2 linked regions of the Sus scrofa genome follow. The protein of the gene in region 1 binds, or shares a complex with, the protein of each later gene. Links are inferred from orthologs where the notes say so. Each region holds a gene or a part of one and is shown in the gene's direction. Other genes may lie near its edges.

Region 1 (7,136 bases):
GCTGAGGTCACAGAGTCACAGGTGGGACCTGAGTCATGGACTTTGTGGTTAGGCCCTGCAAGCCCACCTGCTCCTCCTGACCTTTCACCCCCTCTCTCCTGCCCCAAGGAACAGCAAGACTACCTAACATCCCCTTGCCTGCCAGCCACTCCTGGGCCCTCCCCTGCCTAGATTTATCCTTCACTCCAGCAACTGAGTCAGATGCCTCTTTTCCCACCTTAAAACACACTCCTGGAGTTCCTGTCGTGGCTCAGTGGTTAACGAACTCAACTAGTATCCATGAGGAAGTGGGTTTGATCCCTGGCCTCGCTCAGTGGTTAAGGATCTGGCGTTGCCATGAGCTGTGGTGTAGGTCGCAGAAACAGCTCGGATCTGGCATTGCTGTGGCTGTGGCGTAGGCCAGTAGCTAGAACTCTGATATGACCCCTAGCCTGGGAACCTCTATATGCCATGGGAGCAGCCATAAACAAAGACACCCACACACAAAATCCAAAAATAAATCAATAAAACCCACTCCTGAATCTCCTCTCCACCTTCAGCCTGCCCCCCCATCCCCACCTCCACTTCCTTTCCTCCTCTAAACACCCCCAGCCAGGCCTCCTCCTTGGATCTGTCCTCCTCATGGTCATAAACAATGTCCCTTTGGCCCAACCCTTGCCCAGTGCTCAGGCCTGCTTTGATGGCGGTTCCCTGCTTCCTCCTCCAGGCAGCTGCTTCACCTGGCTCCCAGGCACCTGGCTCCCTCTCACCTCTATTCTATTTTCGGAGCATTTATGGAGTGTCACCGCTGCAGTCATCAGCCAGGTACCCTAAACTGTGGGTGCTGTTCTTGCCTCTGTTCTGCAAGGGGGGGCATCAAGGCACAGAGAAGTTAAGTAATGCACCTAAGTCCCAGAGCGAGGACTGGAGCCCAGGTTGCTGCACCTCTCTTCCTTCTATGTTTCCTCCCCTCCTCCCAGAAGGCAAAGCTCAGGCCCGGCCTCAGACCTGCTAAGTGACGTCATCCAGCTGCCAGCTCCAGTATCCACCATGTGCCCACAACCCCCACATTTGTCTCCACTCCAAGCTCACACTGAATTCCAGGCTCATGTCCCACTGAACTACCCGTTTCTCTCCTTAGGGCCCATGGGAGCCCCAAGCTTACACCTACGCCTCCCCACCGCAGTCCCTTTTTCCCTCCTCTGTTCCCCTCTGTGTCTCTCATCTCCACATCCCATCCATCTGCAGATCTGTGAGTGCTGCCTGGACCTGCCCTCCCCTGCCCCTCCCTGGTCTCCTTGTATCTGCTCTGCTGAGATGCTGAAAATGGCTGCAAACCCAAACTTTTCAACCCAACAAACACGGCCTCCCAGGATCTGCCCCATGTCACCCTCTGACTTCCTCTTCTCCCTGTCCCCCGGCATAGGCATCCTTGCTGCCAACACACCAGCCAAAGTCCAGCCTCAGGGCCCTTGCACACACTGTACCCTCTGCTTGACACACCTTCCTCCAGACATGCCCACAGCTCCCTCCCTCTCCTGCTTTGGGCTTTTACATGAAACTTCCTTGACCACATTTGAGACTTCAAACCTACCTTCTCCTTCAGCCCACTCTCTTGTCCCCTTTTTTCATTTACTTGTGTTCACTTTTTTTTTTTTTTTTTTTTTTTTTTTTTTTTTTTTTTTTTTTGGCCCGCCCATGGCACATGGAAGTTCCTGGGCTAGGGATCAAATCCATGCCAAAGCAATAACCCAAGCTACTTCAGTGACAACACCAGGTCATTAACCTACTGGGCCACACGAGAACTCCTATGTTCACTTTATGTCCTGTGTCTCCCTGGTATGTAAAGATGCTTGCCTGTTTTGTTCCACATCCCTGTGGGTGCTCATAAAATATTGAATCATTAGGAGTTCCCATTGTGGTGCAGCAGAAACAAATCCGACTAGGAACCATGAGGTTGAGGGTTTGATCCTTGGCCTTGTTCAGTGGGTTGAGGATCCAGCATTGCCGGGAGTTGTGGTGGGGGTCGCAGACACGGCTCAGATTCTGGTGTTGCTGTAGCTCTGGCGTAGGCAGTGGCTACAGCTCTGATTAGACCCCTAGCCTGGGAATCTCCATATGCTGCAGGTGCAGCCCTAAAAAAAAGACAAAAGACAAATAAATAAATAAATATTGAATCATTGAATAAATGTATTACCGAGTGAGAAGTTACTGATGGCCTCCACTGACACAGGGGCACTGGGCTGGGCAAACCTCCTGTATGAACCGGGGTGGTGTATGTGTGTGTGTGGGCAGATGTGGAGGTTGTAAAAACATGCACAATCTTGGGGGCTGTGGGGTATCCAGGGGCTGGGGTGGGCCTCAGGGGACTAGGAAAACAGAGATGAGTGCATTTCATAAGCAGTGGGAGCTATGCCAAGCTCCTCCCAAGCTAACAATCCCTTTAGGTCCTCAGCTAATCCTCTAAGACGGGGACACTTTATTATTTCCACTGTACAAAGTGGATAACTGAGGATCTAGGGCATTAAGTTGGACATGGCCCTGAGTCAACTGAGAAAACTCCCTGCAGTTGATCACACAAACACCTACGAACCATCTCTTAGTAAGTACGAACATCCTGGGAACCGAGCGTACCCAAGACCCTGTCAAGGCCTCAGTCTCCCCTTGCTTCTGCCTACCTGAATTTTTTTTTTTTTTTTTGCTGCACCCCCTCAGCATATGAAAGTTCCCAGGCCAGGGACTGAATCCAAGCCGCAAGAGTGATCTGTGCTACAGCTGTGGCAACGCTGGATCCTTAACCCACTGGGCCTGGGATCGAACCCGCGCCTCCGCAGCGAGCGACCCCAGTCACTGCAGGGACAACGACGGATCCTTAGTTCGCTGCCCCACAGCTGGAACTCCTGCCTCGCTGGATTTTTTTTTTCCCCTTAATTTTTTTTTATTACTCAAATGAATTTATCACATCTGTAGTTGTATAATGATCATAACAATCTGATTTCACAGGATTTCCATCCCACAGCCCAATTACATCCCCCCACCCCCTAAACTGTCTCCTCTGGAGACCATAAGTTTTTCAATGTCTGTGAGTCAGCATCTGTTCTGCAAAGAAGTTCAGTCTGTCCTTTTTTCAGATTCCACATGTCAGTGAAAGCATTTGATGTTGGTGTCTCATTGTATGGCTGACTTCACTTAGCATGATAGTTTCTACGTCCATCCATGTTGCTAAGAATCTGCCTCGCTGGATTCTAAACGTCCTCCCTAGGCGGGCGTTGAGCAGAAACTACGCCTCCAGAGAGGCCTTGCATTCAAAACCACGCGAGATCTACCGAGGAGCGGGTGAGTGGTGTTTGCCCTCTTTTCGCGCAGCCAACCGCCGCTTTAGTAAGGCTCGGGCTGCCCTTGGCTCTGCCCCTCCCAAAGGTCGCTGCATTCAGGCTTTAGCTGACTACAGCCCTGTAAGGGTTGGGCGAGGTGGAGGGGGCCTGACAGCGGCGCGGCGCAGGCGCAGTGGGCACGGGTCTTGCCGAGCGCAGGCGCTGTAAGTTCGAGGGGGGCGGCAGCCATGGACGACGAGGAGGAGACATACCGGCTCTGGAAGATCCGTAAGACCATCATGCAGGTGAGACGCGCGGGGGCTGCCCTTAGTACTAAGCGAACGCTGTCCGGCGCGCGGACGGCCAGCGCGAGGCCCGAAGATGGGAACGAGCTTTTCTATGTCTGGCCGCGCGGCTCAGGGGAAGGTTCTGGCCCAGGTGGGGCCCGTATTGGGCCGGGGACAGAGGGGCCCCGCCGACCACTGCTGAGTGGCGAGTCCGAGAGACGCCGGGGAGAGGGTCAGGGTTTCGCTGGAGCTGGAGGGAGGGAATTGGCCTCGCGTGTTCCTCTTTCCGGAAAGTTATGGCACTGTTTTGAGGGCCTGATACAGTATTCCAGGATTGTGGATATGGAAGGATCCCTGGTTAGCTGGTCTCAATGCTGTCTGGTTGCCCTGACAGCGCGCCCTGGCCACCAACTTTGAGCTACTCGGGCTGATAGGCTCCAAGTCATGCCAGCTCCCTAGCTAAGCGTTCTCTGTGTGCCACGTGCTTTAGGCTACTCCACGGGAGGGGGCGATTGTGATCCCACGGAGGCTTCGGGCCTTGACTAAGACCACCCACCCTCGCCACGGCGGGGATCCTGCCTGGACTAAGCTGGGGCAGTGGCACCCATATTCTCCACCTCCTTGCAGTGCTACCCAAAGACAGGGTAGGAACAGCGTTGCTTCAGGCTGACCGTGTCGCGGGCCCTGGGTGAGAAGAGTGAGCGCTCAAGAGGGAGAGTCCGGGAGTTCCTGTTGTGGCTCAGTGGTTAACAAATCCAACTAGGAACCATGAGGTTGCGGGTTCGATCCCTGGCCTTGCTCAGTGGGTTAAGGATCCGGCGTTGCAGTGAGCTGTGGTGTAGGTCACAGACTTGGCTGGAATCCTGCGTTGCTGTGGCTCTGGTGTAGGCTGGTGGCTACAGCTCGGTTTAGACTCCTAGCCTGGGAACCTCCATATGCCGTGGGAGCGGCCCAAGAAATGGCAAAAAGGGAGGAAAAAAAAAAAAAGAGGGAGAGTCCAGCTGTGGGGTACTTGGCTGAAGAAAGGGGATTCCGGCAGAGTGGGTGGCTTTCTCTTTGTCTGGGTGGTCATCCGGTCTGTCCACTCAAAGAATCCCAGTTTCTGAGTCAGGACCTAGATCTGCTGGCCCCCAGGCCTTGGCCTGGTTTTCCAATAGCCTTCTGCCCCAGGCAGCCCAGCAGCACCTCTCCCAGACAGCTGTCCTTTTCTGCCCCAGACCCAAGGGCCTGGCCTTGGAATCAACAGCCCTCCTCACATCCCAGCCCTGCTCCCATCTTCCCTGCAGTGGCCTTGAGCACCCTGAGCCTTTGCTGTTCTCTCTGCACCTTGGTCACCTGATTCTTTTTCTCTGCAGCTTTGCCACGACCGTGGCTACCTGGTGACCCAGGACGAGCTGGACCAGACGCTGGAGGAGTTCAAGGCCCAGTTTGGGGACAAGCCCAGTGAAGGGCGGCCGCGTCGCACAGACCTCACGGTGCTGGTGGCCCATAATGACGACCCCACCGACCAGATGTTCGTCTTCTTCCCAGGTGAGGGCCTGCTCAGGGCAGCAGCAGCCACCTGCCCTGACACGCAGTCTGTACCCCTCATCCTTCTGCCTCTCTGCTGTATGTAGTGCCTCCACTGAGGCAGCCTGGCTCTCAACCCCAAAGGTAGGGGACCATGCTGGGTCACAAGCACCTTGGGGGCCCACCCTGGTGTGCCTCCAGGCAAGGGAGAGTGCAGAAAATGCCTGCTGAGCAGACCCAGAGGGCACTTTTAAGATTTACTTTATTGAATTATGTTTTACAATGTTATGTTCTTTTCTGGTGTATCGTAAAGCGATTCAGTTACATGCACATAATTATTCTTTTTCAAATTCTTTTCCGTTATGGTTTATTATAGGATATTGAATATAGTTTTCTGTGCTGTACAGTAGGACCTTGTTGTATATCCACCGTATGCATATAAGAGTTTGCATCTGAGAGTTCTCTTTGTGGCTCAGTGGTTAATGAACCCGACTAGGATCCATGAAAGAAAAAAAAAGAGTTTGTGCTTGCTAATCCCAAAATCCCTCAGTCCCCTCCCCGTTGGCAACCACAAATCTGTTTTCTATGTGTCTTTCTGTTTCACAGCTCATTTGTGTTATGTCTTATCTTCCACATATAAGTGATACCATGTAGTATTTGTGTTACTTCATTTAGGTTACTTAATATGATAATCTCTGGGTCCATCCATGTTACTGCAAATGACATTATTTCTTTTTGCTTTTTTAGGGCCCCGCCCGCGGTTTATGGAGAGTCCCAGGCTAGGGGTTGAGTGAGAGCTATGCCACAGCCACAGCAGTGCAGGGTCTGAGCTGAATCTTGTGATCTACACCACAGCTCACGGCAATGCCAGATCCTTAACCTACTGAACAAGGCTAGGGATCAAACCTGTGTCCTCAAGGATACTAGTCAGGTTCGTTAACCTCTGAGCCTCGACGGGAACTCCGATATATGTGTTCTTATTGCCATTTTATTAACTGTTTTGGGCTTGGGTTTTTTGTCTTTTTTCTTACCTTCTCTTGTGGCTTGATAACTCTTTTTTTTTTTTTTTTTTTTTTGTCTTTTTGCCATTTTTTTGGGCTGTTCCCACGGCATATGGAGGTTCCCAGGCTAGGGGTCTAATAAGAGCTATAGCCACCTTCTCCACCAGAGCCACAGCAACGGGGGATCCGAGCCGCGTCTGCAACCTACACCACAGCTCACAGCAATGCCGGATCCTTAACCCACTAAGCAAGGCCAGGGATCGAACCCGTAACCTCATGGTTCCTTGTCATATTCGTTAACCACTGAGCCACGACAGGAGCTCTGATGACTATCTTTAGTGTTGTGTTTGGACTCCTTTTTCTTATAAGTATCTATTGTAGAATTTTGGTTTGCAGTTACCATGAAATTTTGATATAAGAGTCTATGTATAAAAGATTGTTTTAAGTTGTTGGACCCATAATTGCAAGTGCATCTCCAATATCTTGCATTTGTACCCTCCTCTTCCCACAGTTTCTGATTTTGGAAGCATATTTGTGTGTGGATAATTTCCTACCCTTACTGTATGTATGCCATTACCGGTGAGCCTTGTCATTTGTGATATTTTTGTTTCTGGTTGCGGCCTTTTCTTTTCCACCTAGAGAAGTTTCTTTTTTTTTTTCCCCCTTTCCTAGGGCTGCTTCTCATGGCATATGGAGGTTCCCAGGCTAAGGGTCTAATAGGAGCTGTAGCCGCCGGCCTACACCAGAACCACAGCAAGGTGGGATCCGAGCCTCGTCTGCGACCTACACCACAGCTCACGGCAATGCCGGATCCTTAACCCACTGAGCAAGGCCAGGGATCGAACTCACAAGCTGCAACCTCATGGTTCCTAGTCGGATTCATTAACCACTGTGCCACGACGGGAACTCTAAGAAGTTTCTTTAGTATTTTTTGTAAAACTGGTTTAGTGGTGCTGAATTCTTTTAGGTTTTGCTTGTCTATAAAGCTTCTTCAAATCTGAATGAGAGCCTTGCTGGGTAGAGTTATCTTGGTTGGAGATTTTTTC
Region 2 (6,458 bases), on another chromosome or scaffold:
GAGGATTGGGATAGAGGAAAGCTGCCACAGACCCTGGAGCAAAATTTCAAGATCTTTTTATTTTACTTTCTGGCCATATCTAAAGCATGCTAGATCCACTGCAGCTGCGACCTACACCACAGCCCACGGCAACGCCAGATCCCTAACCCACTGAGCGAGGCCAGGGATTGACCCCGCGTCCTCATGATGCCACTCTGGTTTGTTACAGAACTCCCCAAGATCCTTTCCTTTAAACTGAAGTTAAGCTGGTCAATGAATCTGCTTACCTGAATGTGTTTCTGCAGAAATTTAGTAAATGCCGGCAATAGGAGAGCCGTGTCACGAGCCTTCAAGACGGGGATGTCTTTAAGGTCCCTGAAAATGGCAACAAGACACTTTCATGATGGGAAGCACATAACCTAACATTTTTTAGTTTCACCATAACTAGTGATAACAGTTTAGTGGAGTTTCTCAATATTAGTAAAATCAAAAATAAAAAATAAACCGAAGTTGAAATTAATGGCTTTAAATGTAGGAAGTGGATGTATGTGTGTGTCCAGAACCTGCTCACGTGGTGGTCGACACTGTCCTCCTTAGGAAAATAAGAAGTAGAGGATTAAGGAAGTGGATTGTATCTTCTGGACCTGTGATAAGACGTGTATAAGCAGGAGTTCCCAGGTGGCCTAGCAGTTAAGGACCTGGCATTGTCACTGCTGTAGCTCAGGTCCCTGCTGTGGATTGGGTTTGATCTCTGACCCAAGAACTTCTGCATGCCGTGGGGGGAAAAAGTGCATAAGCAATACTATGTTAATATATGTTAATAATCAATAGTGTTATATTAATATGTTAATATAGTACTGTTAATTGCTGTGTTGGTATCATATGTATGCATATAGCGTACAGCGTGTATACATATTGAACCGCATGAGCTGTGCTTCAGGGCAGGATCTTAGTCGTCTCCCGAGATGTACAGTGACCTTGGATAATGCTAAAGATTGAGCAGGTATTTCGATCTGGGTTTTGATCCTCCCATGGCTGCTGCTTTGGAAGGACTTAAAAGCATATGCCTGGTAGTCTTCGCTTGGATTTAGCTCTTCAAAATAGATCTGCCTTTGGGGCTCTGCTTCACACGCAGCTAAAATTTTCAGGGTTTTAAAATACTTTTCTGTGGGAACATATGTGATGCTTTCCCCCCCACTCCCCATACCCAGGGCATGCAGAAGTTCTCAGGCCAGGGGTCAAACCCATGCCACTGCAGTGACAACACCAGATCCATAACCCGCTAGCAACTCTATGACACTTTTAACTTTGTATACCTCGTACGATGTATTTGCATGACCTGTTTTTTAAAAAGTGTAAAGGCATGTTAAAAAATGAGGAATGTTCCTTGGCGCCTGATGAAATGGGAAAAGGAGAGGGAGGTGTTGCCAGCCTCAGAGCCTTCCCTTTGGTGAGGAAAAAGATTTGGTTCTGAGGAAAGGCAGCCCTGGGCTGTGACGGTGCTACCAGCAGAGCCTTGCAGGGGAGAGCAGCTTCCTCTGATTCTTGGACCTTGCTAAGGTTCTGGCTGTTTTAGCATTTTAAAAGATAAAGCAGAAATTCCCATAGTGGTGCAACAGTAATAATCCCGACTAGTATCCATGAGGATGTGGGTTCGATCCCTGGCCCCGCTCAGTGGGTTAAGGATCCAGCATTGCCATCAGCTGTGGTGTAGTTCGAAGGTACAGCTCGGATCCTGTGTTGCTGTGGCTGTGGTGTAGACCAGCAGCTACAGTTCCACTTTGACCCCAGCCTTGGAGCTTCCATGTGCCTTGGGTACAGCCCTAAAAAGAAAAAAGATAAAGCAGTTATCTGTAATTTACCTGCTAAAGAATCTTCAAGGTGTAATTAAGAAAAAAAAATTCAGATATAATTGACACCATATGTGACTTAACTTTTTTTTTTTTTTTTTTTTTTTTGATCATTGTGTGGAGCAGCTTGATGAGGGATCTTAGTTCCCAGACCAGGTATTGAACCCAGGCTGCAGTGAAAGCACCAAACCCTAACCACTAGACCACGAGGGAGCTCCCTAAGACATACTGTTTTTGTTTGCTTTTTAGGACCACACCTGTGGCATACATTCCTGGCTAGGGGTTGAATTGGAGCTGCAGCCGCTACCCTGTGCCACAGCCACAGCAATGCCAGATCCGAGCTGAATCTGCAATCTATACTGCAACACTGGATTCTTAACCCACTGAGCGAGGCCAGGGATTGAACCCACATCCTCATGGATACTAGTCGGGTTCTTAACACCCACAATGGGAATTCTGGACTTACTGTTTTAAAAAGAATAATTTAAGAGCCTAACAATTGTACCAACTCTTGCTTCCCTGTAGTAAGTTTCCAGGTGTCTTAACTGTTTACTAGGGAAGCAGGTTGAGGTTCCAGTTTCCACGGATGCCCCAGTGTCACCCGGGACAGGACAGCCAGATGGCCCCATCCCGCCTTAGCCATTAGGTGTTGAGCCCCAGGTTCCAGGAGTGGTTGGGCTCCTTGGCCTGTCCCAGTGCTAAGATGCCCTCTTGGCCCCTCAGGTGACACCCCTGCGCTTTGGGAAGGACGTCGATGGAAAATGCCACAGCCTCACGGCCTCCTACGTGCGGGCGCAGTACCAGCAGGACCCCAGCCTGCCTCACTGCCGCTTCTATGAGGTGCCTGCGGGGCAGCGCTGAGGGAGGGAGGCGGGGACCACTCACCACGGCCAACCTCCCTGACTCCTGTGTGCCCTGTCACCCTAGGAGTTTGATGTCCATGGGCGCCAGGTGCCCCTGCCGGCTGGCATCTACAACCTGGACGACCTGAAGGCGCTGGGGCGGCGCCAGGGCTGGTGCCCGTACTTCCTTGCCCGGTACTCGGTGAGGAGGCTGGCAGGGCTTGCGCAGGGGGGGCGTGCGTGCGGGTTACGCCTTCCCACCCACCTGTCCCTCTGCCTGTGTCCCCCTGTCGGTCTGTCCCTTTGTCAGTCAGTCTCTCTGAGTGTGTGTGCCTTGCCTGTGTCTGTCTTTCCTCAGTTCGCTTCTGCCTGCCCATCTGTGTCTGTCTGTCTGTCTGCCTGAGCCCCTTTCTGCACCTCGTCTCTGCGGGCCTGTCAGGCAGCACTGGGGCCGTGTGCTGTGGGCGGGGGGCAGTAGCACGAGGTGGGCGCTGGTGGCCGGGGTAACCCTGCACTCCCGGCCCCCAGATCCTCCACGCCAACGTGGTGGTTTACAGCTACCACTACCTGCTGGACCCCAAGATCGCCGACCTGGTGTCCAAGGAGCTGGCCCGCAAGGCTGTCGTCGTCTTCGACGAGGCCCACAACATTGGTGAGGAGGGAGCCAGGGCTGGGAGGCCATGCCAGCCCCTTGGGCTGCCGCCCCAGCTGCCTGCCTGAGCCCGGCGTCCCCTCCTTCCTCTTCCAGACAACGTCTGCATCGACTCCATGAGTGTCAACCTCACGCGCCGGATGCTGGATCGGTGCCAGGGCAACCTGGAGACCCTGCAGAAGACGGTGCTCAGGTGCGGGGCGCCGGCCTTTCCCAGGCCCGGTTCTCTGCCTGCCCTGCCCCCCACCCCAGGACCCCGGTCCCCGTCCCCGGCGTGTCCCCAGCCCTTCCCATCCCCCGGCTCCCCGCAGGATCAAGGAGACTGACGAGCAGCGTCTGCGGGACGAGTACCGGCGCCTGGTGGAGGGGCTGCGGGAGGCCAGCGCCGCCCGGGAGACCGACGCCCACCTGGCCAACCCCGTGCTGCCCGACGAGGTGCTGCAGGGTGAGCCCCCCGCCTCTGTGCCCGCGCCCGCCCCGCTGGGCCCCTGGCACCCCCCCTCCCCGCCACCGACCCGGCTGAGCCCGTGTCCCCGCAGAGGCGGTGCCGGGCTCCATCCGCACGGCCGAGCACTTCCTGGGCTTCCTGCGGCGGCTGCTGGAGTACGTCAAGTGGCGGCTGCGGGTGCAGCACGTGGTGCAGGAGAGCCCGCCCGCCTTCCTCAGCGGCCTGGCCCAGCGCGTCTGCATCCAGCGCAAGCCCCTCAGGTTCGTCCAGCAGGGTGGGGGTGGGCCCGGGGCCGGTATGGGGACTAATGGAAGCCTGGGGGAGTGCGTGTCACACCCGTGGGGCGGAGGGGGCAGGTCGGGGGCTCTGGGGCCAGCAGGGGCTTGGCGGGCAGCAGATGAGAGGCAGAGGAGAGTTTGGTGGACTGTTCACGGGGGTCCCGGGGGCCGTGCAGGATGGAGGAGCTGGTGGGGTGACCAGGCCCCTGCACCTTTGCGGAAACTCATCCCACCCCAGGCCACACGGGGAGGGGAGGGAGTAGCCCTGGAGAGCGGCTTCTGATGGGCCCAGCAGGGTGGGAGCTGGCAGAAAATGCTGTGGATCCTGCCCCCCAGACCCCTGTCGCCTCCCACTGTCCCCCAAGCCCCGGGGGCAGGAGCCTCCCCTCAGTGGTCAGGGAGGTGGTGCATGGACCCGGGAGTGGGGGTGGGGCTTCCTGGGCTTTTCCTTTGCTGTTCTGCCTGAGTCAGTGGTCTTCCCTGAACCTTGGTCTCCTCCTTTGTGCCCCAGGCAGGGAGTCAGCCCCTTACTCCCAGGTTCCTGAGGTGGTTGGTTAGGTGAGAAAGCAGCCACGCCAGGAACTTAGCATCTTGAGTGCTGACAATGAGCTAAGCTACATTCCGTATCCGTGGGATCTCAATAGCGTCCTCGCCTCGCGCTGTGGATGGGGACACTGTGTCCCAGGGAGGGGAAGCCAGTGCCCAGGGCCACACAGCACTGTGGGGGTAGCTGTGACTCGAAGCCAGGCCTGTGGGGCTCCGGAGTTCCTGGCTGCTCTGCCTGAGGTTGGGCGGGGAGCCCTCGATGGGGCCTCACCTTTCACCCTGCCGTGGGAGACTTGTGAGGGCTGCGGGGAGCTTCGCCGCCTGCATGGTCCTGAGTGCCTGATCTGCTGGGACACGGTGGGGACTGAGACAGCCCTGGCCCTGCCTTCCTGGGGTTCACAGTCCAGTGAGAGAGGGACGTGCCAGGGCTGGGATGGGGGGAGGCCTGGGGGCCCAGGGAACATAGAGGGGCACCTGGTCGACCGTGGAGGAAAGGAAAGGAGGTTCAGGAAGCGGGTTTTAAACCTGACTGTCTGCCTGACACCAAAGCCGTGCTGCTGCTCCACAGCCTCTCCCTGAAGGGTGAGAGCCTTGAGTGGCCCTGTGTTGTGTACGGGCTGTTGCTGGACACAGTGTGTGCGAAGCTCCGGGAGTGTGTGTGAGATTGTCTCCCGAGTGTGTGGGACTCTCACGCTGTGTCGCTGAGGGTGGCGAGCGTGGCTGAGACACTGAGAGAGGACCTGGGAGGGAGCAAATGGTGATGTGGCCGTGTGGGGTTCGTGCAGTGACTGTGGGATTCTGGGCGTGCTTGTGGGTTGCCCCTTCTGACCAAGAACCTGCTCATGAGCATGTGGCCCCCTGTGACGTGACCCTGTGACTCTGAGCTGTGTGATTATTGCTCCGAATGTGCCCTCGTATGGCCGTGGCCCTGTGGGATGTGGGGGACACAGAGGGGACTGAAGCAGACCCAGGCCCCGCCCTCATGGAACTTCGGGCAGCTGGGGAGATGGCACCTGGGCCCGTGCTCTGCTGGAGGGGAGGGGGCTGCTGGATGTGCCTGAGCTGGTCACTGTCGCCCCTCACCCCATCCTCCACCCCCCCACCCCCCCTCCAGATTCTGCGCCGAGCGCCTGCGCTCCCTGCTGCACACCTTGGAGATCGCGGACCTTGCTGACTTCTCCCCTCTCACGCTCCTCGCCAACTTTGCCACCCTAGTCAGCACCTATGCCAAGGGTAAGCGCCCCTTCCTGCCTCTGCCGGCCCCGGCAGCTGGAATCGGGATCTCCGTGGGGTTGCCCGTGGGACTTGGACGAGCAGGACCTTGTAGGGCTGGGCTCCGGAGTTTGCGCTTTATTTTGAGGGCAATAGGGAGCTACAGACAGTTCTTGAGTGAGCGAGCCTTGTGCTCAGATTTGTGTTTTTCAAGCTCCTCTCTGGCTGCAGGGTGAAGAAGGGTGGGGCGGGTGGTGGCGTGACATGAGGCCAGAGAAGTTCTGTGGGGTCAGCTGGCCCTGGGGGGCATGGTAAGGAGCTGGTCCGTCTGCTCCCAAGGGCATTGAGGAGCCACAGCAGGTGCCATGCAGGGGAGAGGCAGGGTCACTTGGTGCTTTGGAATGATTCCTCTGGCAGAGCTGGGCCAGGGCGGGAGGAGAGAAGATGCGGGGCTGGAGAGAGACCTGGGAGGTAAAGAGGCCGGGAGGCTGGTGCTCAGGTTGCCAGCTTGCAGAGAGCAGGGCAGCGTCGCAGAGGCTTCGTCGCTCAGCATTGCCTCGCCTTCCTCAGCTTTAAGCTGGCCAGGGGCTCAGCCTAATCCCCGGGGATTACTCCTGTGTCCAGGAAACTAGGTCAGGCCTGCCAGCGCCC

What was found.
Region 2: POLR2E (region 1) and ERCC2 share a complex: the UniProt entries of both Homo sapiens proteins name them as parts of the TBP-based Pol II pre-initiation complex. The link is inferred for Sus scrofa from reciprocal best matches to the Homo sapiens genes POLR2E and ERCC2.

Annotation. Positions count from the first base shown.
Region 1 is NC_010444.4:77,327,345-77,334,480, forward strand, and holds the start of POLR2E (DNA-directed RNA polymerases I, II, and III subunit RPABC1), read left to right. Parts: upstream 1-3,410; 5' UTR 3,411-3,541; coding exon 3,542-3,598; intron 3,599-4,935; coding exon 4,936-5,110; intron 5,111-7,136. UniProt on the Homo sapiens protein: DNA-dependent RNA polymerase catalyzes the transcription of DNA into RNA using the four ribonucleoside triphosphates as substrates.
Region 2 is NC_010448.4:51,742,632-51,749,089, reverse strand, and holds part of ERCC2 (TFIIH basal transcription factor complex helicase XPD subunit), read left to right. Parts: intron 1-2,552; coding exon 2,553-2,669; intron 2,670-2,756; coding exon 2,757-2,873; intron 2,874-3,199; coding exon 3,200-3,323; intron 3,324-3,419; coding exon 3,420-3,516; intron 3,517-3,634; coding exon 3,635-3,768; intron 3,769-3,862; coding exon 3,863-4,031; intron 4,032-5,709; coding exon 5,710-5,828; intron 5,829-6,458. UniProt on the Homo sapiens protein: ATP-dependent 5'-3' DNA helicase. Component of the general transcription and DNA repair factor IIH (TFIIH) core complex, not absolutely essential for minimal transcription in vitro.